3 linked regions of the Astyanax mexicanus genome follow. The protein of the gene in region 3 purifies or fractionates together with the protein of the main gene of each other region. This does not show direct contact. Links are inferred from orthologs where the notes say so. Each region holds a gene or a part of one and is shown on either strand. Other genes may lie near its edges.

Region 1 (7,285 bases), on a different chromosome or scaffold from region 3:
TTAGAGAAGGTGATAGAAAGAGACCACATTTTTTTTTTCAACATAAAACTTTTAATACATTTAAAACAAGTAAGTTAACTACATAGTTACTCAGCTAGGACAGCTGCCTTTCTCGTTATATTAAGGTTACACATTCATATAAGAAAAAAAGAAATGGCTGTGCATATCGACAGAGCTTTGGCTAAGATTAGGTAAAACAGCTCCAATACAAACTTTTGTATACGGAGAGTAAGATAAAGTAGATTGGATTAAAGTAAATTGGATTTGACTGATTAATTAGTATTTCCACCTTAAATGGATCGGCAGTTCAAAGCCTGGACAGACTGTAACGTATCTAGCTGCTGCAGAATTTAAGGTGGAAAAGAAAGTTGGAATAAGGAACTGAGCAAAAGAAGCACACGAGAGAGAGAGAGAGAGAGAGAGAGAGAGAGAGAGAGAGAGAGAGAGAGGTGTATTCGCATGTGAGCGTATTTCTGTATTTAGACCACATTTCTTTTTTTAAAACAAAAAAAGTAAATCATTCAGAGAGTGGACAGACCATAAAATATATACATTCAAAACAAGTTAACTCAGTTACCTAATTAGCTACTTAGGCTCGTCATATTTAGGTTAATAATTAATATAAAGAAACTAACAGCTTCCACACAAACATCTGTATACGGAGAAGAAGATGACGTTTAGTTTTAAATAGATTGGTCTTATAACTACTCGTTCCACCTTAAATTGTGCAGTTGTTAGTTATATTTTGTAATACACTAACAGCTAGGTAGGTTGGCTGCTGAAGAATTTAAGGTGGAACGAAAAACAAACTGAGCAAGCAGATGCAAACGAGAGAGAGAGAGACTGAGAGAAGGGGGCGGTGTATTCGCATGTGTATGGGAGTTCCTGTATTTAGAGCAGCAAGACCATGTATTCTCCACAAATGTAACTTTTCAACATCAAAAATGTACATTTTAAAACAAGTTAGCTAGCTAACCAAGGATGGTTACTCTGGGGCAATAAGCTATGCTTGTCTGTAGCGCTGCTTGGATACAGTATTTAGGTTAGGTAGTTAGCAAACCAAGCTAAGCTAACTAGTTAGCTAGCTAGTTAGGTTTGTTATTGGACAACACATTCAAACCTTAAATTAAATCTAACTACACAGTTAGTGTACACACCCTCCACAGTGGTACACACTCCTCATTTCCCCACCTTTCCCCTTGTTGTTTCACAGACCACCCGTCCTACTGAACTCCTCTGCTCACCGTGGCCTTCAACCATGGCCAAAGCTCAGTCAGCTACAAACACAACCCCCACCCCCTTTACCTAGCCAGCTTGAAAAGCACCAACGCCGTCTCCATTATCCACACCCCCTTAGCCTTAGACAGGGCTTTGCTATTTAGCTTACCGCCTTCTTCATGCCAATGTTAGCCCACTGCACGGATGACAGGAAGACCCCAGAGTGCTCCACCAAATCTGTAACAGATCTAGCTAGCTAACCTAGCTAATTTAGCTTAGCTAGCTAACCTAGCTCTCTCATACCAGCCAACCCAAAAACATTCAAGGAGAGGAGGGGCTCTCTCTCACCTTAATTTCTGGAGCTAGAGATGCGTATTATTTCCAGTCGTCTGGGCTCCTGCGCATGTGACCGTGTGGTCTCTGGCTGCCGACGTGCTTGTCCTCAATAATCGCGTTATAATCCGCATCAAACCGCGTGTAATATGTACATAAAATGTGTCCTGCTCTCTCTCTCTCCGACGCTGCGCTGCTGCTAGCTCGTCTGCTCGCTACTCTTGTTGTTTGTGTTTTAGGAAGATGGCCGTTCTGCTCGGCGGAGACCACGTGACTCCGTGGCGACTGACTGGAGTAACATATGAAACCTGTCTGAGGGGGGTTGCAGCGCCCCTGGCGGCGTGTGCAGGCAACTACACGTGGTCACATATTCATTATCAAGGAAAGTTAATTTTTATTGTCAATACTGCATATTAGAGGTGTGCCAAAAAATCGATTCACATAAGAATCTTGATTCTCATTTACTACGATTCAGAATCGATTTAAAATGTCCCAAAATCGATTCTGAGGGGCGGGTTTTAGACTGATTTTGGGCTGGGTATTTTTGTTGGACCTGGCAACCCTGGGGATAGCGCTTGTCCTTTCAAACGGAGATCTTCCAGACACACACAGAGCGTAGGTGTTTGAGAATCACCGGTAAGATGGCAGAACAAGCACTATATTACATTAGATTAACGTGTAGTTTCAATGTTTTATGGCAGAATGCTTCATAACAAGCATAAAAAAGATCGCTAGTAGTTAGTTTCAGTAACTGTTAGCTAGCTAACTAGCTAACTTTCCAGTTCCACCTTAAATAACGCTACAGGTGGCAGCGGGCTGCAGCATTTAAGGCGGAACGGAAAAATACAATAAGCTAATCAGAGCTAATTTCAGCTCCTCATCACAGAGGAATTAAGGAATGGACCATATGAATTAATTTCTCCACCTCCTGCCCCCTTTCTGAAGAAATACAACGACCTTAAATTAACTAGTTAATCAGCAGCTGCTCCTGAACTTTAGCGCTCCACTGCTATCATCACATCAGCCCAGCAGCGTCACCTACACACCACCGCTAGTAGCCTGGTAATAAAGCAGTGTTATTTATTATTTATTTATTGTTCATTAACGTCATTGTGATATCCCAGTGATTCCTCTGTCACTGAGGACCCACATTCCTGCACATTTTATTGTTTTTGTAACACATTACCTGCTCCAGGACCAGTGTATATTATGGAGGGTTTTTTTTCAATAAGATTCATAAGCCAGAAGCAGAAATTTTTATAATTCAAATCGTTTTGAATCAAAAATCGATTTTGAATCGAATCGTGGCCCCCAAAATCGGAATCGAATCGAATCGTGAGATAGTAAACGATTCCCACCCCTACTGCATATGGACAGGACATACAGAGGATTAAAATTACGTTACCATCCTTCCCAAAGTTACAACAGGTACAGCAGAATAAAATTATAAATATAAAAGAATGAGACACTAATACTAATACTAGTACAATACAACAAGGCCAGATATATAGACATACGTGAGACAAGAGTTCAAGTTTAAGTAAGAGTAGACAAAAGTACAGAAATATAATATTATAAATAATAAAAGAATGACACTAATTGTACAATACAGCAAGGTCACATATACAACTTAAAAATTATGGGTTTTTTTTGCCTTTACCAAATTGAAAAACTCTGGAATATAATCAAGAGGAAATGGACGATCACAAGCCATCAAACCAAGCTGAACAGCTTGAATTTTGCACCAGGAGTGGCATAAAGTTATTCAGAGGCAGTCTGGAGGGGAACATGCCAATGTGCATTAAAACTGTGATTAAAAAAACAGGGTTACTCCACCAAAGATTTCTGAATTCTTAAAACCTTATGAATATGAACTTGTTTTCTTTGCATTATTTGAGATCTGAAAGCTCTGCATCTTCTTCTCATTTTCTGCAGTATGATTTATTTTTTTTTTTTTGGAATTTGGAAGAAATGTTGTCTGTAGTTTACAGAATAAAACAAAAATGTTAATTTTACTCAAACATCTACCTATAAATAGCAAAATCAGATAAATTGATTTAGAAACTGAAGTGGTCTCTTAATTTTTCCAGAGTTGTATAGACACACGTTAGACAAGAGACACACAATAGTGCAATATAAAATGACAGTGTACCAGTTGGTTTGAAAGGGGTGGGGGGTCACAGTCGTAGGGGGAATTAAGTGGCTATGATTGATCAGTGCAAGTATAGGCAGTAGTGCAGGTTTGGGGTGTGTGAGTGCATATCAGTTCCTGAAAAAGACTTCCACTACTGTTTTGATTCAAGTACTATGTTCCAGTATTGTGTTGATAAGAGTGCGGTCAGAATTGACCAGATTTTAGCTGGTATAGTGAACAAGTGCATAATGCACATTCTTTCAATTGCACAGTTGTAGGGATAATTAAAGTGAGTATGACAGTGCAAGTATAAGCAGTAGTGTCAGTATGGGTATGTGAGAGCACTGTATTACATATATTACATGTATTAGAATATAATCAGGTGCTCTGCTCTAGGGGAGCGAGCGACCGCTGATCTATAAGACATGTGCGCCACGCGGTAATTAGGCGCATTGCCGCTGAATCCCCATCACACTGCTTATACATCTGTACAGAGCGCGTCGTAGGCGCAGGTACTCAAACAGAGACGGCTGTTTGAATGGCGATTTGCTCCACCGGGTAACATTTTACATTTACAGCTGTATGTCTGTGACTCACTGGTTGTTTTGCAGTCACTATTTTACTATTTTAAATACAGACGTCCCTAAACACACGAGAGACAGACATCACTTCCGGTAAAAAGCTGGTAACACATCCGGCATCTTCTACAGTGAGGCGGTGTGACGAGCCCCCAGAGCAGAGCAGGTACCTGTTTATTACATTGTTTTTGAATGTTTATTTGAATCAGAATCTGCAATTAGGTGTACGATGTTGCAGGTTGATTCAATGTAAAGAGCGAGAACTGGAGTGTAGTCTATATTCCACGTGTTTAGACTCCTCGCCATGCTTTCCAGTGTACGGGTGGGTGGTCAGTGAGTGACAGACTAGCTAGTCCTTCAGTCCTTCAGCAAACACTGAAATACACCCTATTTAATATCATACACGAGATAGCCTCACAACTAACAGCTAGCTAACACTGCTGCAAAGACTGCTGCTTAAGATGGTGATTCTGGTTAGATTAGGTTGTGGTGGAAAGGCTGATTGATCATGTTTCTGTGACAGAGGATGTTTTTTTTTATAGATTTTTGCTGTCTGTCTATCTGTCTATCTCTCTCTCTCTCTCTCTCTCTCTCTCTCTCTCTCTCTCTCTATGTATATATATATATATATATATAAGGAAAGGCTGATTGATCATGTTGTATGTCACAGGATGTTTTGCCATCCATCACTTATTTTTATCCCAACCTTCTCTAGTAGAATTGTCCCTGTGTTCACTGTGGCATTGTTTCGATAAGCTTCTGTAATGTCACAAGATTTATTTTAATCCAGTACCCAAAGCCTTCTTCAGCACATCCCAAAGATTCTCAATGGAGTTAAGGTCTGGACACTGTGGTGAACAATCCATGTGTGAATATGATGATCTCATGCTCCCTGAACCACCCTTTCACAATTCCTGCCCAATGAATCCTGGCATCATATTATTTTACTCCAACACTGGATATATTGAGAGCATTGTTAGTATCATTACATGTTGTATTGTTCACTTCAATTAGGGATTTTTTTGTTTTCATATCAACAAGAACATAATTGCAAAAGCTCCCAGAATATCCCACCCCACCCAGGCCCACTCCATCTAAATATTTATTGTTTATCTAATGGTAAATTTAATATACATCTTCTTTGATATTAAATGTTTAATTGTCAGTACATGTGTGGATTAGGAGTAAACAATACTTTTTAAAAAGACATTGTTAATCGTTAAATTGCTCTATGTTTCCATTGTCAGATTTAATCTCTGCTGATCCTCTTCAGAAGCCCCGAGATGGCAGATCCACGAAGTCAAGTCCCAGGTTCGGTGTCTCAGAACCCACTAGGTTTTTCAACACCTGAGGGCAACACTGTTGAGATGGACCCAGTGGAATACACCCTCCGCAAACGGCTGCCCAGAAAGCTGCCCAAGAGACGCAACGATGTATACATTAACATGAAGACCGACTTCAAGGCCCAGCTGGCCAGGTGTCAGAAACTGCTGGATGGCGGTGCTGGTCACAAGGAAATCTGCATCCACGGTCTGGGACTCGCCATTAACCGGGCCATTAACATCGCACTGCAGCTGCAGGCTTTCAGCCAGGGGGCACTGCAGCTGGCTGCGAACACCTCCACGGTAGAGCTAGTAGACGATCTGGAGCCAGAAGACCCAGATGAAGCTGGAGAGCCACTAACACGAACAAGGAACAACTCGGCTATCCACATTAAAGTGTTTTACCCCAATGCTTAGAAAGTTACAGTCAGCTACACAAAATCAAATATTATTAAAAAGGGAAAGAAGGAAATCCATCACCATAGAGGGATAATCTGACCTTTAATTTCATTAATAGCTACTGAATGTTAAGACTTTTCAATTGAATCATTTGGGATTAAATTCTTAAATAATACATGGCTTGGATGTGCAGTTTAAGGACAGTATTAAAAATATTTTTTGAGAGCCTTTACATAATGTGAAGATCAGTAAAAACAAATTCTGTCAGCACTTTATTTGGCCAAAAAAGTTTTGAGATATGTTTAAGGGTGCGAAAGATTAATATTTCTAAAATGCAAATCAGTTTGTGTCCCTATATATTTTTTGGGTTATTTTGCCAAGTGAAAGAACCTAGGAGTTGTTCACACATCTAAATTGGAATCAGTAAATCGATTAGCCCTGATATGAGAGAGCCTGGTATGGAAGTAGCTGACCCAATATTATATTCTACCCACTTGTCTTCTTATGGCACTGGAGGAGAACATTAGATCAGTGCTTTGATGTATGTCTGTGAAACTGCTCATGAGGTCATTCATATGTGTAGGTGTTTGATATTTTGATAAAACTTGAAGAAAATAGAACATTTTGTATTAATGTGCTGTCCACAAGTACAAAATATTATTTAAGGTGCCTATGCATGTTGTTGTATTGTCTGAAACAGTTTGTGTTCGTTTGTGAACATACTATATTTTTAAGTCTTATTTTCACTGTTTGAGAAGCATATTCAGATTTATTTTCTGATGTATATGTGTGTAAATAAAACACTAACACATGCTTGCATATCGTTTGTGATATTTTTTTAGCTTGTGCTGTCCACTTGAGGGCAGTATAGCGTCTATTATTTTTGCAAGAATACAGATGCTTGCATCTGTCCAGTGTCTTTACCCCTCGACTTATGGTGTGCATAGTCTTTAAGAGCACTAGAAGCTGGACTGGATTGATTTACACAGTCATGGCCGTTTTGGCCCCCCAACGTGTTTCCAGAAAAAAGATATTTTTTCCAAAAAAATCTTCTTTGTGTGTATTAAAAACAGAAAAAGCCAAAATGTATTATTTCACAAAGAATTACAAAATAGGGCCAGACACAATTATTTGCACCTTTTTAAAATAATGCTCGTTTACATTCACGTGTGGCCAGTAACAGGTTTGGGCACAATACAATCATACGAATAGAAAGTAGAAAACTGAATTTCAAGGTTTTAAATCCATCCCCACAGATCTTGATGTTCCTTTGTCCACAGTGCCCAACATAATTAAGAAGT
Region 2 (7,415 bases), on a different chromosome or scaffold from region 3:
CCAGAGACAGTAGATCTAAGGACTGTGTGACTAGGGGGCTGTAAATAACTGGGAATGTAGGACTAGAGAAACATATTTTTTTTGGACTGGGACATTGTGGATCTGGAAGACCACAGCACTGGAGTATTGTCTTACTTTTCAGTCTGTCTTCTTTGGTGATGATCTTAAAGACGTGCTTCAGCTCCTGCACCAGGATTCCAGTGGTCCCAACATAAGATGGACATTTTGATCGGACCACTGCAAGACAAAATAATGAAACACAAATAAATGTTGGGTAATCCTCCCGTATATATTGATGATATTTGATCAGAATCTGAGAGAGCTGTAGAGTGTAGAGTTGAGGAGCGTCCACTAACCTGTTAAAACTGCACCGTGGAAATCAGCCTTCAGGAGCTTCTGCTGGATGGTCTGTGGGTTGCTGTGGTAGATGTTACAGATTAAACACTGCAGGAATTAGAGCCAGACTTACAGTATCAGAATTTAAACTATCATATATAAATATATATTGATATTTATCACCTGCCAGGTTTGAGTCCGTTACACAGATCGATTATGTACTGTTTCCACAGCACATGTAGCGGCAGGAACAGCTCATACCTGCAGAATCAGAACCGGAAATAGTTATAATATTTACTTTAGTCTATTAATATAGTTATACATGGCAAAGCAATTTGCAACAACACCTGTCGACCACTTGGAACACCATAGCAACCAAGCCTTTCTACAGCAGTTACCTAGCAACAACATAGCAATCAACCAGTGGGGACTTCTTGAACATCCCAACCATTACATTTCTAGTTAAATACAGTCTAAAAGTGCAAACGTTTGGAAACATCATGTGTTCTTGAGTCAAAATTCCTTACAGAGAGACTTATTTACACTCACAGGGCTCTAGACTAACACAGTCCCAGCGTCCTGACGACAAAGCCGTTTCAAGCCGTTTTTGAGAAAACTGCCTGCTGGTTGAAGTATGACTGGGACTTTTCCTATTGCTTAGCATGTTAAAGTATATTCTTTTTTACGAACAATCAGCTTGCTAGAAAAGCCACAAGAGGAGGAAGGCCAATGTGGCACTAGCGGGGAAAGCCTCTAAAGAAATAATTGTGGTTGGTGGATCGCCATGTCAGTCAACTGGGGAGCTTCAAAAGTGGCAAAATTGCTGGCTAATGGCAGAACTGCACTTTTAAGATAAGCAGACATATCCTAAGGAACTGTGTTCTATACATTTCTTAATTGTGGTGGGTGTATTGCCATGTCAGTCAACTTGGGAGCTTCAAAATGGGCAAAATGAATCAGGGGAAAAAGCGTCAATTGCTGGCTAATGGCAAAACTGCACTTTTAAGATGAGCAGACATATTGTAAGGAACTGTGTTTTTAATTTTATTCTAAGTATAATTCCACTAGTTGAAAAAAAGTTTCTAACTGAAAATAAAATATAATTGTGTCTCTGTATAATATAATAACTTGACATTAAGGAGTCACAAATATATATATAACTCAAACAGACTGTCCAAACAACTGATGACATTATGGTAGTAAAATACACAAATACAATAGAAATGTAAACATAGATACATAGAATAAACATCTAAATATATATAATTTTTCACATTACTATTGTATTTGTTTTTGTATTGTTATGGGACAGATAATTTTCAGTTTGAGATGGTTCTGGGACGGTTGAGAATAAAGTTAGTCTGGAGCCCTGACTGGAGCCAAGTCACTTCATGTGAGGGGTCCTGATTTTTGCATTAATCTGCACTGCTGATGCAGGAATGTGGTGTGATGTTGTGATGAGATGTGGTACACACTTCTGATGCTCGGGTTTCAGCTGGAACACTTTTAGCTCCCGCCGTTCTTTAGCGTTGAGTCCTTTAGCTTTGGTCTTCTTTCCCCGGGTTCTGTTGGGTCTGGCGTACTGCAGGATCACAGCCTGGCGGAGCATCATGCTCTCGATCTCCTCGCCCTTCAGCTGCGGCAGGCTGCTCTTCAGGAACGCATTGGTGAACTTCTCCGCAGCCGTGCCAGGCTGAGACTGAACACACAACACAACACAGGCCAACATTGTTTTTTTATTATATACAGCTCTGGAAAAAATATGACACCACTTAAAAATGATAAGTTTCTTTGATTTTACCAAATTGAAAACCTCTGGAATATAATCAAGAGGAAGATGGATGATTACAAGCAATCAAATCAAGCTGAACTGATTAGATTTTTGCACCAGGAGTGTCATAAAGTTATCCAAAATCAGTATGTAAGACTGGTGGAGGAGAACATGCATAGATGCACGAAAACTGTGATTAAACCCAGGGTTTTTCCACCAAATGTTGATTACTGATCTCTTAAAATTTTATGAATATGAACTTGTTTTCTTTGCATTATTTGAGATTAGAAAGCTCTGCATCTTTTTTTGTTTTTTTCAACCATTTCTCATTTTCTGCAAATAAATGCTCTAAATGACAATATTTTTATTTGGAATTTGGGAGAAATGTTGTCCAACAATGTTCATTTTACTCAAACATAAACCTATAAATAGCGGTTCAAATAGCTTGGACTTATTGGTTTACTGTAAATAGAGCAAATCAGTCAGAACCTGAAAAGAACTCTCACCTGAACTCCTAGAAGTTTACCATCTTCTGGAGGAATACTGGAAAACGCTGCTTCTGTGAACAAGAAAAGAACAAAAAACAGCAATGACCGGCAAAGGAACACATTTCAGCTATTATGTTAAAAACATATAGTTTAGTGTTCAGTGACTTTAACAAAAAATAAAACAAAAACGAACCTTAAAGAACCTAAATCTAATGCTAGAGGAACGTTTAGTGTTATCTGGGGAAACAACAGCCCTGGATTGGTTATTTAGACTCAGTTCAGCAGGAAGACTCGGTTTACAACACACAACACTCACTAACAACCGCGCGTCGCTTTAATAAACCTGTTATTAATGTTATTAATACAATAATAATCCACACTTACCCGCCATGCTGGATCCACACCGGCTCCCCCAGTGCTGAAAGCCGATCACCGATCGCCAAGTCCGGTACGTGAGACCTGAGTAATCAACCGCAGCTTCCCTGATTCAGTCATTTCTACAGTACATGTGTTTTATGTCCTTTTTTAAAATACATTTTGGTTATAAATGTTATAAATTACTCAAAATTATTTCTAAAATGTCTAAATTTATAGTTAATAAAAATCATTTTTTATTTAGACCTCTGTATACTAATGTATTTATGTTTTTTACAAAAGACTTTCTGAGGTGTAGATGTCCTATAATGTTATAAACGGCATTAAACCTTTTTATAATAATAATAAAAAATACTTACCACTCCGTAAAGCTACAAAATTATTTCAAATTAGAGATTTAACATCTTTTTATTTAATACATTTTGAAGTGTAAACTTGTGTGTATAGTAAAACATTTTTTTCAGTTTTTGAGTTTTAAAGTCTGTCCCCTTTAAAAATAAAAAAGCATATGTTTCAGGTATTTTATGTAACATTATAGGTATGTATAAACAAAGAAAATATTTTATTTATTCTGATCTAGATCATTTAGTAAAAAGTTGTTTGCATCAAATTATGGTGCAAAATTGGACAAAAAATGTCAAAACTACACTATATTTAAAGCAAATAAAAATAAAAAAAATCGCAAGGTAATACACATAGACAAAAACAATCTTTTATTAATAATTTTATTTATAATTTTCTAATTTTATTTTTTTTATTTCTATAAAATCCACGTCTTTTACAAAAGCCCCGCCCCCTCTTGGGCGAAACCGCTCTCTATTGGTCCGCTGTCACCGGACGCCACTTTCTATTTGTCCGCGCGTTTGCAGGGTGGATTTGAATGCAGCTGATTTGAAGCGAGCAGTGAGGAGAGTTCAGTTATTTAGTTATTTTTATTTAATTTAAATTCACACTTTTTACACAGTTACGGGTTTATATGCGTGTTTATATATTTAGTTGATTATTTGTAGTATTTAGATTGTAGTTGAGTGTTTTTGAGATGAAGGCTGAGGGCGGTGGAGTGTGTGTATCTGAGGGTGGAGAGCAGCGGCCGGTGGATGATCAACAGCAACAACCGGACCAGACCGACCCAGAGCCAGAACCAGAGCCAGAGCCAGAACCTGAACCAAAACCGGCGCCCAGACTCTTACCCAGAGGTACCAGAACCGACTTACTGATTTACTAAGAAACTAATGCAGTACAGCGAAGTGTCAGTGAGACAGCTTAGAGATACAGCCAGCGGTTTAACACAACAACTTAGCTAGCACTAACTTACCAGCTAACGAGGTTAACAAACTAACGTTAGCTAGCTTACTTATAAGTAACGTTAAGTGATTGATTAATTAACTAACTAACTAACTAACCTAGCTAACTAAATAAGTAGTTATTATTTAATTAATGAACTAACTAACTAACTAACCTAGCAAACTAACTAACTAAAGTTACCTAAATAAGTATTTAAATAACAAGCAAACTAACTAGCTACCTAACTAGTTGACTAACTAACGTTACCTAGGTAACTAGTTAACTGACAAGTTAACTAACTAACTAGTTACTATCTATCTAACTAAATCACTAGTTAACTAACTAACTAACTTAGTTAACTATCTATCTAGCTAACTAAATCACTTTATACGGTCATGATAAACCTGGGAAAGTCATGAAATTCAAAAATAGCAATTTCCAAGGATTGATTAGTTTTGGAAAAATAAAAAAGACCTAGAACGTTTTGGAAAAGTCCTGAAAACCTTGTCCACAAATCCTTTATGTTTCAGTTTATTGAAGGAGAAAAGCTATTTTGAGCTACAAATACATCAGCTCAGAGTTAATTCAGTAATTTAGCCTTATAGAGTAGAGCTCTCAGGATCTGACACGCATTTTATTATTAAAGATTGAGTGTCAACATTTTTATCAGATTCATTTTAGGCCTACTATCTTCAATTTTGTTTTTGTGTCTGCACTGATGTTTTAAAAATCATATGGTCATGAAAATGTCCCTTGAAAAATCATGAAAATGTATTGGTTAAAACATGTATGAGCCATGAACATAACTATGACCATGAAAACTTAAAAATAAAACATAACTATAAAACCATTAACTGTGGTACTGTGTGTAGCAAAGTGCAGTTACAAATGACTGTTTATGTGGCCAGTTATGTTGACAAATTGATCCATCCTTAATAATGTCTCCATAAGCACAGAGCGGGATAACAGTAAAAATTCTGCAGAATTTCATTCAGAAAGTGAACATTTCTATGGGTAAAACGCAGGTATAGTGATGATATATCGCTGTAAGTGATGGGAACTCTTTCCTCTGTAGCGATGTTTCAGGATGACGAGCACGATGAAGAGGAGGATGACGAGGATGACGATGAAGAAGATGACAGCGGCACAGATGGGCTGTCTAACGATGAAAAGCTGTGCACACATTTACAGCGGGCCGAGGCGTTCGGGAGCGCGGGGCTGCCTCACATCTTCCAAACCAACCATCTGCTTTTCTACGAGAGATTCAAAGCCTATCAGGATTACATGCTCGGTAACTCGCTGCATATTAACCTCATCATCTGTAGATGTGTCACTGTTTATTATGTTCATAATCACATCTGCTGATCTCTATACTGAATAGATCAGCAAATGGATAAATACAGTATATATAATACTTTTTAAAATATTATATTAAAATTCCCTGAGGTATAATATATAAAGTATATAAAATATCTAAAATATAAATGTTTGACCTCCATTAGACCTCTGAAACCTCTCCTCACCCATCTCTGTCTCTGTCTGTCTGCTGCAGGCGACTGTAAACCTTCAGAGGTGCAGGAGTTCACTGCGGATTACCTGGAGAAGGTGGTGGAGCCATGTGATTGGCAGGCGCTGTGGCACACTGACATGGTTGATGTTCTAGTTGAAGTGAGTGCAAAGAGTATTTGCTCGTCTGCCTTTTCACACCTACACAAAATGACTAGTTTCTTTGATTTTACCAAATTGAAAACCTCTGGAATATAATCAAGAGGAAGATGGATGATCACAAGCCATCAAACCACCAAACTGAACTGCTTGAATTTTTGCACCAGGAGTAAAGCAGCATAAAGTTATCCAAAAGCAGAGTGTAAGACTGGTGGAGGAGAACATGAGTTATTCCACCAAATATTGATTTCTAAACATTTAAAACTTTATGAATGTGAACATTGTATATGAATATTGTTTTCTTTGCATTATTTGAAGTCTGAAAGCTCTGCAATTTGTTTGTTATTTTTGCCATTTCTTATTTTCTCCAAATAAATGCTCTAAATGACAATATTTTTATTTGGAATTTAGGAGAAATGTTGTCTGTAGTTTATAGAATAAAACAACAATGTTAATTTTACTTAAACATAAATAGCAAAATCAGAGAAACCTATTTAGAAACTGAAGTGGTCTTTTTATTTTTTTCTAAAGCTATATGAACTTGAGTGACATCCTTTTCTTAATCCATAGGGTTTAATATGATCTCAGCCCAACCTTTACAGCTATAAGAGCTTCAGCTCATCTGGAAAGGCTTTACACAGGTTTAGGAGTGTGTTTATGGAATTTTTTCTCATTCTTCCACAAATACATTCGTGAAGTCAGACATTGATGTTGGATGGGAAGCTCTGGTTATCAGTCTCTATTCTAATCCATCCCAGAGGTGTTCCATCAGGTTGAAGTCAGGACTCGACTGTGCAGACCAGTCAAGTTCTTTCACACCAGACTCACTCATGCATGTCTTCATGTGTTCTGCAGGTGGTGGATGTTGACTATAAGGAGCTGAAGGGGAAGGTGGAGCTAGTGGAGCCCCTGCAGTGCGAGTATCGAGGTTGTGACCTCACTGAGGACTCGGTGAAGACGTTACTGGAGGCCAAGCAGAATAAAGTCCCGCTGCAGGAGCTCCATGTGGTTTATGATGAATCCGGAGAATTCGACCAGACAGCTCTCGCTCTGGAACATCTCAGGTTCAGCTCTCTTACTCAGTTACTCACACACATAACCACACACTCTACATGGAAGGCACATGGAGATGGTTGGAGTTATGCAATAAGGAGTAACCATTTCAATTCATATAGAAATCACATTAAAATCAGTGGATGAAGATATAAATCTGTACCAGTGGTAACATATTTAGAGTTTATACTAAAAAAGAATGGAATGGTAGAAGCTTAAATTGAACTAGAAAAGGTTTTAATAATCAAAATTCTTGAATGTTTGACCAACGTTTTTATTTTCTTTTTTTTTTATTTTTTATTTTTTATTTTTTTTACATCCTGGCATAAATACCAACAAAACACTTTTTCCTCAACTGTGTTATTATAATCCTAAATTTACCTCAGTAGTGCTGTTCTAATCCTGAATTTACCTGAGTAGTGCTGTCCTAATCATGAATTTAC
Region 3 (7,770 bases):
TATTACATTACCTTTCCCTTGCACACAGATATTAGATTGACGGCATTTGTGATGGTGTACTTCTTCATGGTGGGGTCTCTAATGCCTGCTGAGTAGCTTATCTCGAAGAACACTCCCCTTTCAATAGCCTTAGAGAATCAACAGAGAAGAGCACAAATTCACAATTCTTACATTTGTAATATGATATTTTATTTTAAGTTAATTTCATATAATTATGGCAATAAAAAAAATAGTATTATATAATATTATATTATATTAATATTAAATTAATTTTAGAATAACATTTTCTATAACTTAGTCTCAAATACTTTTTAGTTTTTTTATTGAGGTTATCTAGAGAGAATCAGATCACACACACACACTACAATGTAGTAAGCATATAGTGTAACCAAAGCTATATATTAATAAAGTAATATTTTACATTTCTACTCACCCCGTTTACCGGTGACCTCTTGAAATGGAAGGACTGTGGTTCAGTGGCTGATATGCAGATAATATCCACATCATAGTTCATGCAGGCTGCCTGTTGCAATAACACACAATACACACATAAATAAAACTTTTTATATATAATCCACATCATTATGCATGTACAGTTTCAGCAGAGTTTTAGAAAAAAACAACATCATGTTTGTCATTTTGGAAGACAAAGTAAAGTTGCAGGATATTACAGAACTAAACAAAGAGAAGAAATATTTAGAGGGGACAACAATATAAATTTACATATTTACAGAAAAAGTTGAACTTACATGGAAGAGTTTGTCTGTTTTGGGATGAACGGCCAAAAGGTCAAAATTCTTGTATTCATTAGTAGGCCTCTACAGTAAATATCACAAATATAATCAGTTTAAAAATCAGATTTCTGTGACTGCAGTTCATAACAACATGATTACTTAGTATTTCAATTGCACTTACAAAGTGAGAGGCATCTGTGGCCACAACTGTCAATCGGTTCAGCACTTTAATAGGTCTGGATTTTCCCTACATGTGAACGAGAGTGCAGAAATTAGAAAACTAGAAAAAAAGACTCCCACATAGATTGTGTATAGTGAGATTTTGTAAAGTTACCTGTACTGTTGGAAACGTCTCAAAGAGCTCTGCTAAGGGTTGCGGAGTCGGAATTAGCTGCATTCAACATCAACACAAACATGAGAACGAAGTTAGCTGAGAAATAATGAATCGGGTTAATAGCATTCTGAAGACGTTTGGTGAGGTAAAATACCTGTTTCTTCTTTTGCCCCTCCACTACATAATTTATTGCAACTGTGGAGTAGCCAACTGAAAGAGAAAGAAACCTGCAGTTCAGTGTTACTGATAACTACCTCACAATAAACTACTACCTCATCTGTGGATAATAACTATTACTATAAATTACCTTATCTGTAAATAACAGTGGATGATACATGGATAGTAGTGTATCGTGTAAGAAAATATCGATATATATATATATCAATATTTCGTTTACCATCGCTGTATCTATAAAAAAAAAAAACAGTTTATACCCTCCTATTGTAATATACACTGTAAATCTGTACACCATAATCCATTGTCTTTTCAATCTCTTAATCATTGTAAATATTCTGTAAAACATATTTATACTACCATATTCATATTCATCCATACCTATTTATATTAAGCATATTTTGCTGCTATTGCACTTCTTGTTAGATTCTAAACCTAAATTATTCCATTGCTTTGTACTTGTACATTATAATGACAATAAAGTTAAGCTACTTTAATATATATACAGCTCTGGGAAAAATTAAAAGACCATTTAAAATGACGAGTTTCTTTAAATTTACCAAATTGAAAACATATGGAACACATTCAAGAGGAAAACAAATGATCACAAGCAATCCAAAACCAAAAGCAGCATGTAAGACTGGTGGAGGAGAACATGCCAAGATGCATGAAAACTGTGATTAAAAACCAGGGTTATTCCACCAAATATTGATTTCTGAGCTCTTAAAACTTTATGAATATGAACTTGTTTTCTTTGCATTATCTGAGGTCTGAAAACTATTTTGCATATTTTTGTTATTTCAGCCATTTCTCACTTTCTGCAAATAAATGCCAATATTTATATTTGAATTTGGGAGAAATGTCTGTAGTTTATAGAATAAAACAACATTGTTCATTTTACTCAAACATAACTATAAATGGCAAAATCTGATTCAGAAACTGAAGTGGTCTCTTTATTTTTATATTTATTTTATTTATTTTTATATAAGAGCTGTATATAAAGGTAAACAAACACAGATTCACACACTGTCCTCTAGTGATGTTTTCAGGATGATGTTCAGTACATGTTCAAATAATGGAGAGTGCTTTAAGGAACTTTACACAGATTTTATAGCGTCTGCATAATTAAACTACATCTATATTATATATTTAGCACCTGGTTATAGTTTGTATCTGTATAGAAATACACAGACAAACAATGTTTTACTTATTATCATTTTTATCTCAGTATAATGGGACTCAAGTGGTGGAGGTCGAATTCCTACAGAGTGTAGGGATTTTCCTACAAACAAACACGCCTCCTTCAACTCAAGTTAGCGCTTCATTGCCAGCCAAGTTGAGCTCATGTGTCAGAAAACACGCTAACGCTACTGAAAATCCCAGTGGTTCCAGATACGTTATGTAACACTAGTGAACTGTCTAAAAGTGAAACTTACGGTGAGCGGCGGTCTCAATAGTGCTCTGGAACTTTGCCTTGTCAGTGCCAGCGGTGATGTTTAAATCCATAAACACAGACATATTCCTTTTTTTAAATACAAATTAGATATCTAACCTAGGATAGCTAGCTAACCAATGTAGCTACTTACAACACAGCCAAAAACAAATATACACATGGGTTTATAATGCTGAGAGTAATATCTGACAGAGAACAGGCTTTCTCTAGCAATATTGTAATTGTAATTATTTTGTAGCCATGCAGCGTTGCTAACTTATTAAGCTAGCTAGTTAACTTACAATGCTAGCGAGCGGTACAGCTTGTTGAAGCATGGACACTGTTTAAACATGTGGGTTTGCGATTTTGATGGCTGCTCTTGGGAATTGTAGTTCATATGTGTACATCAGTCCATTAAATCTTACCACAAGTCGAACTGCTTAAAACTACATCTTCGTGACTTCCGGTCCCAACGGCCACTGCGGCTCGCTGGAAGCAATTTGATTGGTGCGATTTGAACGGAGGACCGCGGCAGCCGTGAACACAACAGTACTAAACTAGGCGCTCGGTACATATTATGAACAGGGTTAGATTTAAACCGGTTTAAAACTAGCTAAATAGTCTTGCTAGGGATAGTTGCGTGTTAGTTTATCTGTAGTTACACAGCCAATATGCGTTTTAGTTCGTTTTAGCTTATTTGAGCTGCTTTTGAAGCGTGTAGGATAGACGCAGGTTAACGTTAGCTAGGCTGGCTACGCTAGGTTACGTCCTTTCAACTGTGTTTTAAGCTAGCTTGGTTTGCTAGTTAAATAATAAGATGAATAACTAATTTATCATCACACTCCGCTTCTTTTACTATGGATACAGTCTATCAGCGGTAGCAACGATTAATCAGGGAAGTCTTAGCGTTATTTAAGGTAGGTAACTTAGCGTTGGTATACTCACACTGCTCTATTCATTAGTTACATGCTGATCAGCAGCGTGTTGATGTTCCTCACTGAGGTCTGTTTCTCTTTGTCTCTTTTAGAGTCATGGAGTCCAGCTTGAATTATAAACCGGAGAGAGTGGGAGCTGTCACTGTGGAAGATCTGAGAAAAGATCTGTTTGTCGAATTCTCCAAAATACCCACAACCCAGGTATTGTTTCCCTGCTTAACCTTCATCTTTTATCGTCTCTGTCTGTAACAGCTAATACTAGACCTGGTATAGTTTACTACATTGTATACAAGTGTTACCACCAAGTGTTACCACCAATCCATGTCAAGACTTATAGAGTATATTAATGGATCTTTATATTTATGGATATTTAATCTTAATTTTATCTATAAAATCAGTCAGGTCCAGCTGTCCCAGGAAATTCAACCTTGACAGTTGGTGTCAAAATAGGGCTGGATGAATTGGCAAAAATCTGTATCACGCAGGAGTGTGCTATGATGTATCATATTATATGCAATAATATCTCCAACATTTTAGACACAATGAAAAAACTCCATATCATAATATATACAGTATTGTTGACAGCTGTCTAATTGGTGCTTGATTTGCTATATATTTACCATATTTATTTTTGTTTTGATTGTTTGTTTGCAGTTTATATGTATGCACTAAATATGCTGCACTTTTGTGGCCACATTGCTTTATTATTTCTACATTGTTTATTATTTTTGTCACATTTTGTTTTATGCAAAATCAGTATTGATAAGCTACTGTTTGCAAAATTGACAAATGGTTATAGATGTTTTTCTCTCTACTGAATGTAGAAAATAAAATAATGTATTTATTTTTGATTTATTTTAAAATTTATTTTAAATGAGTTCTGCTGCAGTTTATTTTTAAATGAATAAATTGTCCTATTGTCAAGAAGTTTGCTATCTCAAAAACACCTTAACATATGGTGGTGATATTTTAGGGTCATATTGCCCAGCCCTAATATCACAATATATTTCATCTATAACAATTCTGATATTGATATTAACCGTATAAAAGCCACAACCATTGGTGTATGTAATTACAAACCAACAGAGCTGGGTGATATGGTACCAATATTATATCACAATGTTTAAAGACATTTTCACAATACCCAGTACTCAAGCAGACAAAATGCATCAGATTCTCCTAGTCAAATATTCTTTCATGCACTGTACATTGATTCTTATTTAATTTTTGCTGCTCATCTTGCATCTGGATATTTGGTTGCACATGGTCAATACAATTTACACTCTCTGTAATGAACTGTACAGTTTGGTCGCTGTTCTTTAAGTAATGATGATATCCTCAATATGCTTATTGTCGATACAATAAAAATATTTATTGCAACACAATAAAAGATTTATTATATTGTCTAGCTCAATGTCAAGTACAGAATCTTCCATCAGATTGAGCCAAAATAAAGTAGATTTTCATTATATACAGAAAACAATTAAATTATCTTGCCCCACATTTTGTTTCGGTGCACCTGATTCTGTTTTAGCCATTTTAATAAATGACTACCTTTTTATTGTTGTTGGTTACATTTCACAAATTATTTTTGAGATTTTCTTTTACATTTTTCTTTGTATATAACAATTAAGAACAAAATCTGCATTTTTTTTATACAACGAACCATGCTTTGCTTTATAGGACTCTGTGTTATTGGAGAGGGAGCATTTGCAGGTCTACCTCAGGATACGCCCTTTTACCTCCACAGAGAGTGATTTCGGTGAATCACAGGTATCGAAATATTTATAATAAGCTGGTGTTAAATTTTAGATGCAAAGCATAACTGTAATAGTGTAAGCAGATGGTAGAACTGTAATTATATTTTTTTAACTGTGATTTTCCTGACTAGGACTGCATTTCAATCGAGTCTCCAGACACTGTGGTTTTAAAGGCTCCAAGATCATCTCTAACAGCCAGGCAAAGTGAGAAACTAGGACCTCAAATTGCACAGAGATTTCAGTTCTCAAAGGTACACAGTCTAAATAGTGTTCATCTACCCTGTAAAATCTGGCACAGTGAAAAACCTTTAACCCTGTGTTAATCATGTTTTGTTAAAACTGATGATATTGTGCAGGTGTATAGTCCAGAAACTACACAAAGGCAGATATTTGATGGAACAACAAAAGCTCTTGTGAAAGATGTTCTGGCAGGACAAAATTCCCTGATTTTCACCTATGGGGTTACTAATGCAGGGAAAACTTTCACATTTTTAGGTGAGTTTTTTTTTCTTTTAGGTCTCATTTTTGTTTTAATTGGAATGTTAACTTATATAATATATGTAATCCATTTTCCGCATCTTTTTCTAAGGACCTGAAACCGATGTGGGAATTCTGCCAAGGTCACTGAAAGTGATCTTTAATAGTATTGAGGGAAGAATCTACACTCAGAATAACATCAAGCCCCACCGCTGCATAGACTTCACTCGACTGACTAAGGATCAGCAGGATGCAGAGGCTACAATTAAGAAAAACCTTCTGAGAAGATATAAAGAGGTATAACTTATTATTATTTTGTTTTTCTTTCATATCACAATATAGCGGTTATTAGTTAATATATTGTGATTCTGTAAGCAAGACTTTGTATTGTGATCTCAAAAAGTCAAATTTTAGGAACACTGTCATTGTTTAAAAACACACGACTATAAAATCTGAGCAAAAACGTTTACAAGAACAGTGGGATCTGAAGAGTACAACACTTCTATCTAGCACTCAGGGTTTAAAATATAAATATATACTCTTAATAATTTGTTTTTGAGAATCAGTACAGTATTGCAAAATGTAATTTCACAACACATTTGGTTTATCAATATTTTCCTTAACCCCTACTAATAAGGGTTCTGAACTGCTGACGCTTTAATTTGATTAGAAAACTCTTTAGTTCTTCATAATTTAAAACATCATCTTGATTTGATATGATTATTTAGGTTCTGTGACGAAGACAAAAAACAAACAAACTTAGTTTTGAATGTTTATAATTGTGTAATGATGAGGGCATAATTGTTATATAGTCAATAGTAATTTATAGTATTATAGTATTTATATTTACTTAAATTACTGTCATTTAAAGTGCTGCCTCTTGATGTGTGGTATTTTATATCTTGATAGAAATAATTAATTATAAATTTTTGTACATTTTCATGCATTTTTTATTTATTTATTTATTTATTTATTTTACATGTGCCCTTTGTCTTCCTTTTTTGTAGAATGATCTGCAGAAAAGCAGCTCTAGTATGTCAAATTCTGCTTGTAGCACACTGCTTGAGGGTAAGAATCATTTAAATTTATGTTGTTGTTATTATGTATTTATAGTTTTTGTTTAGATAAGGCAATAGACAGTGATTTCGGTTATTCCTTCACTTGTAGGTTCCAGCTGCAGTGATCTAAATGAAGACAGTCTTTGTTTGGAGGAAGACTCTCATGTGAAGTTCTCAGTTTGGGTCTCCTTCTGTGAGATTTACAATGAAAACATACATGATCTGCTTGACTTTGCCTCGAGTAGTTCTCAGAGAAGGAGCGTACTTCGGCTTTGCCAAGATGTCAAAGGCAACACGTTTGTCAAAGGTAAGTGGATAGATTGATGATTAGTCTGGTGCTTCTTTGCTGCTTACATTGTGAAAGATTCATTTTTTAAGGTGTTTACTTTAAAACACTTGATTTATACTCTATACTTTTTTTTTTTACTTTTACTGGAACTGCTTCTTTGACTTTTCCACAGATCTGACATGGATTCAGGTTAACAGTGCAGATGAAGCCTACAGAGTTTTGAAGATTGGGAGGAAAAATCAGAGCTTTTCTTCTACAAAGCTCAACAGTGTTTCCAGCAGAAGGTAGTGTTTGTACTATTGTTTGTTTATTATGAAGTTTAACAAGCAGAAATGATTTATAAAGTGATGTAAAATGTAACTCAAATTGTCTATCTTGTTTTAGTCATAGTATTTTCTCCATCCGAATTCTGCGAATCGAAGATATGTGCGTTCCTCGAGTCCAAACAATAAGCGAGTAAGTCTACATTTATTTTTCTAATGTAGTGGATAGAGGTGGTGTAGCAAGTCATTCTGCTCACAGTTTGATTCTGAATTAACAAATTGATTTTCTCACAATATTTAAATAAGTTTTAAAG

The links.
Region 1: the proteins of rpp30 (region 3) and pop7 purify together in Homo sapiens (co-immunoprecipitation; 4 studies listed by BioGRID and IntAct, counting the BioPlex papers as one, with this or other methods). This does not show direct contact. The link is inferred for Astyanax mexicanus from reciprocal best matches to the Homo sapiens genes RPP30 and POP7.
Region 2: the proteins of rpp30 (region 3) and pop4 purify together in Homo sapiens (affinity purification with mass spectrometry; 4 studies listed by BioGRID and IntAct, counting the BioPlex papers as one, with this or other methods). This does not show direct contact. The link is inferred for Astyanax mexicanus from reciprocal best matches to the Homo sapiens genes RPP30 and POP4.

The regions. Positions count from the first base shown.
Region 1 is NC_064415.1:15,413,139-15,420,423, forward strand, and holds pop7 (ribonuclease P protein subunit p20), read left to right. Parts: upstream 1-4,198; 5' UTR 4,199-4,429; intron 4,430-5,510; 5' UTR 5,511-5,546; coding exon 5,547-6,002; 3' UTR 6,003-6,803; downstream 6,804-7,285. UniProt on the Homo sapiens protein: Component of ribonuclease P, a ribonucleoprotein complex that generates mature tRNA molecules by cleaving their 5'-ends. Also a component of the MRP ribonuclease complex, which cleaves pre-rRNA sequences.
Region 2 is NC_064430.1:24,491,864-24,499,278, reverse strand, and holds the start of pop4 (ribonuclease P protein subunit p29), read right to left. Parts: upstream 3,074-7,415; 5' UTR 2,987-3,073; coding exon 2,980-2,986; intron 2,667-2,979; coding exon 2,614-2,666; intron 2,036-2,613; coding exon 1,812-2,035; intron 598-1,811; coding exon 520-597; intron 419-519; coding exon 357-418; intron 238-356; coding exon 136-237; intron 1-135. Other genes in the region: shcbp1 (SHC SH2 domain-binding protein 1), read left to right, coding at 4,010-4,166, 5,330-5,545, 5,807-5,922, 6,775-6,983. UniProt on the Homo sapiens protein: Component of ribonuclease P, a ribonucleoprotein complex that generates mature tRNA molecules by cleaving their 5'-ends.
Region 3 is NC_064422.1:25,766,677-25,774,446, reverse strand, and holds the start of rpp30 (ribonuclease P protein subunit p30), read right to left. Parts: upstream 3,035-7,770; 5' UTR 2,761-3,034; coding exon 2,679-2,760; intron 1,279-2,678; coding exon 1,223-1,278; intron 1,126-1,222; coding exon 1,069-1,125; intron 982-1,068; coding exon 916-981; intron 819-915; coding exon 750-818; intron 524-749; coding exon 434-523; intron 129-433; coding exon 12-128; intron 1-11. Other genes in the region: kif20bb (kinesin-like protein KIF20B), read left to right, coding at 3,706-3,810, 5,293-5,382, 5,501-5,620, 5,726-5,864, 5,959-6,143, 6,854-6,914, 7,014-7,211, 7,366-7,477 and 1 more. UniProt on the Homo sapiens protein: Component of ribonuclease P, a ribonucleoprotein complex that generates mature tRNA molecules by cleaving their 5'-ends. Also a component of the MRP ribonuclease complex, which cleaves pre-rRNA sequences.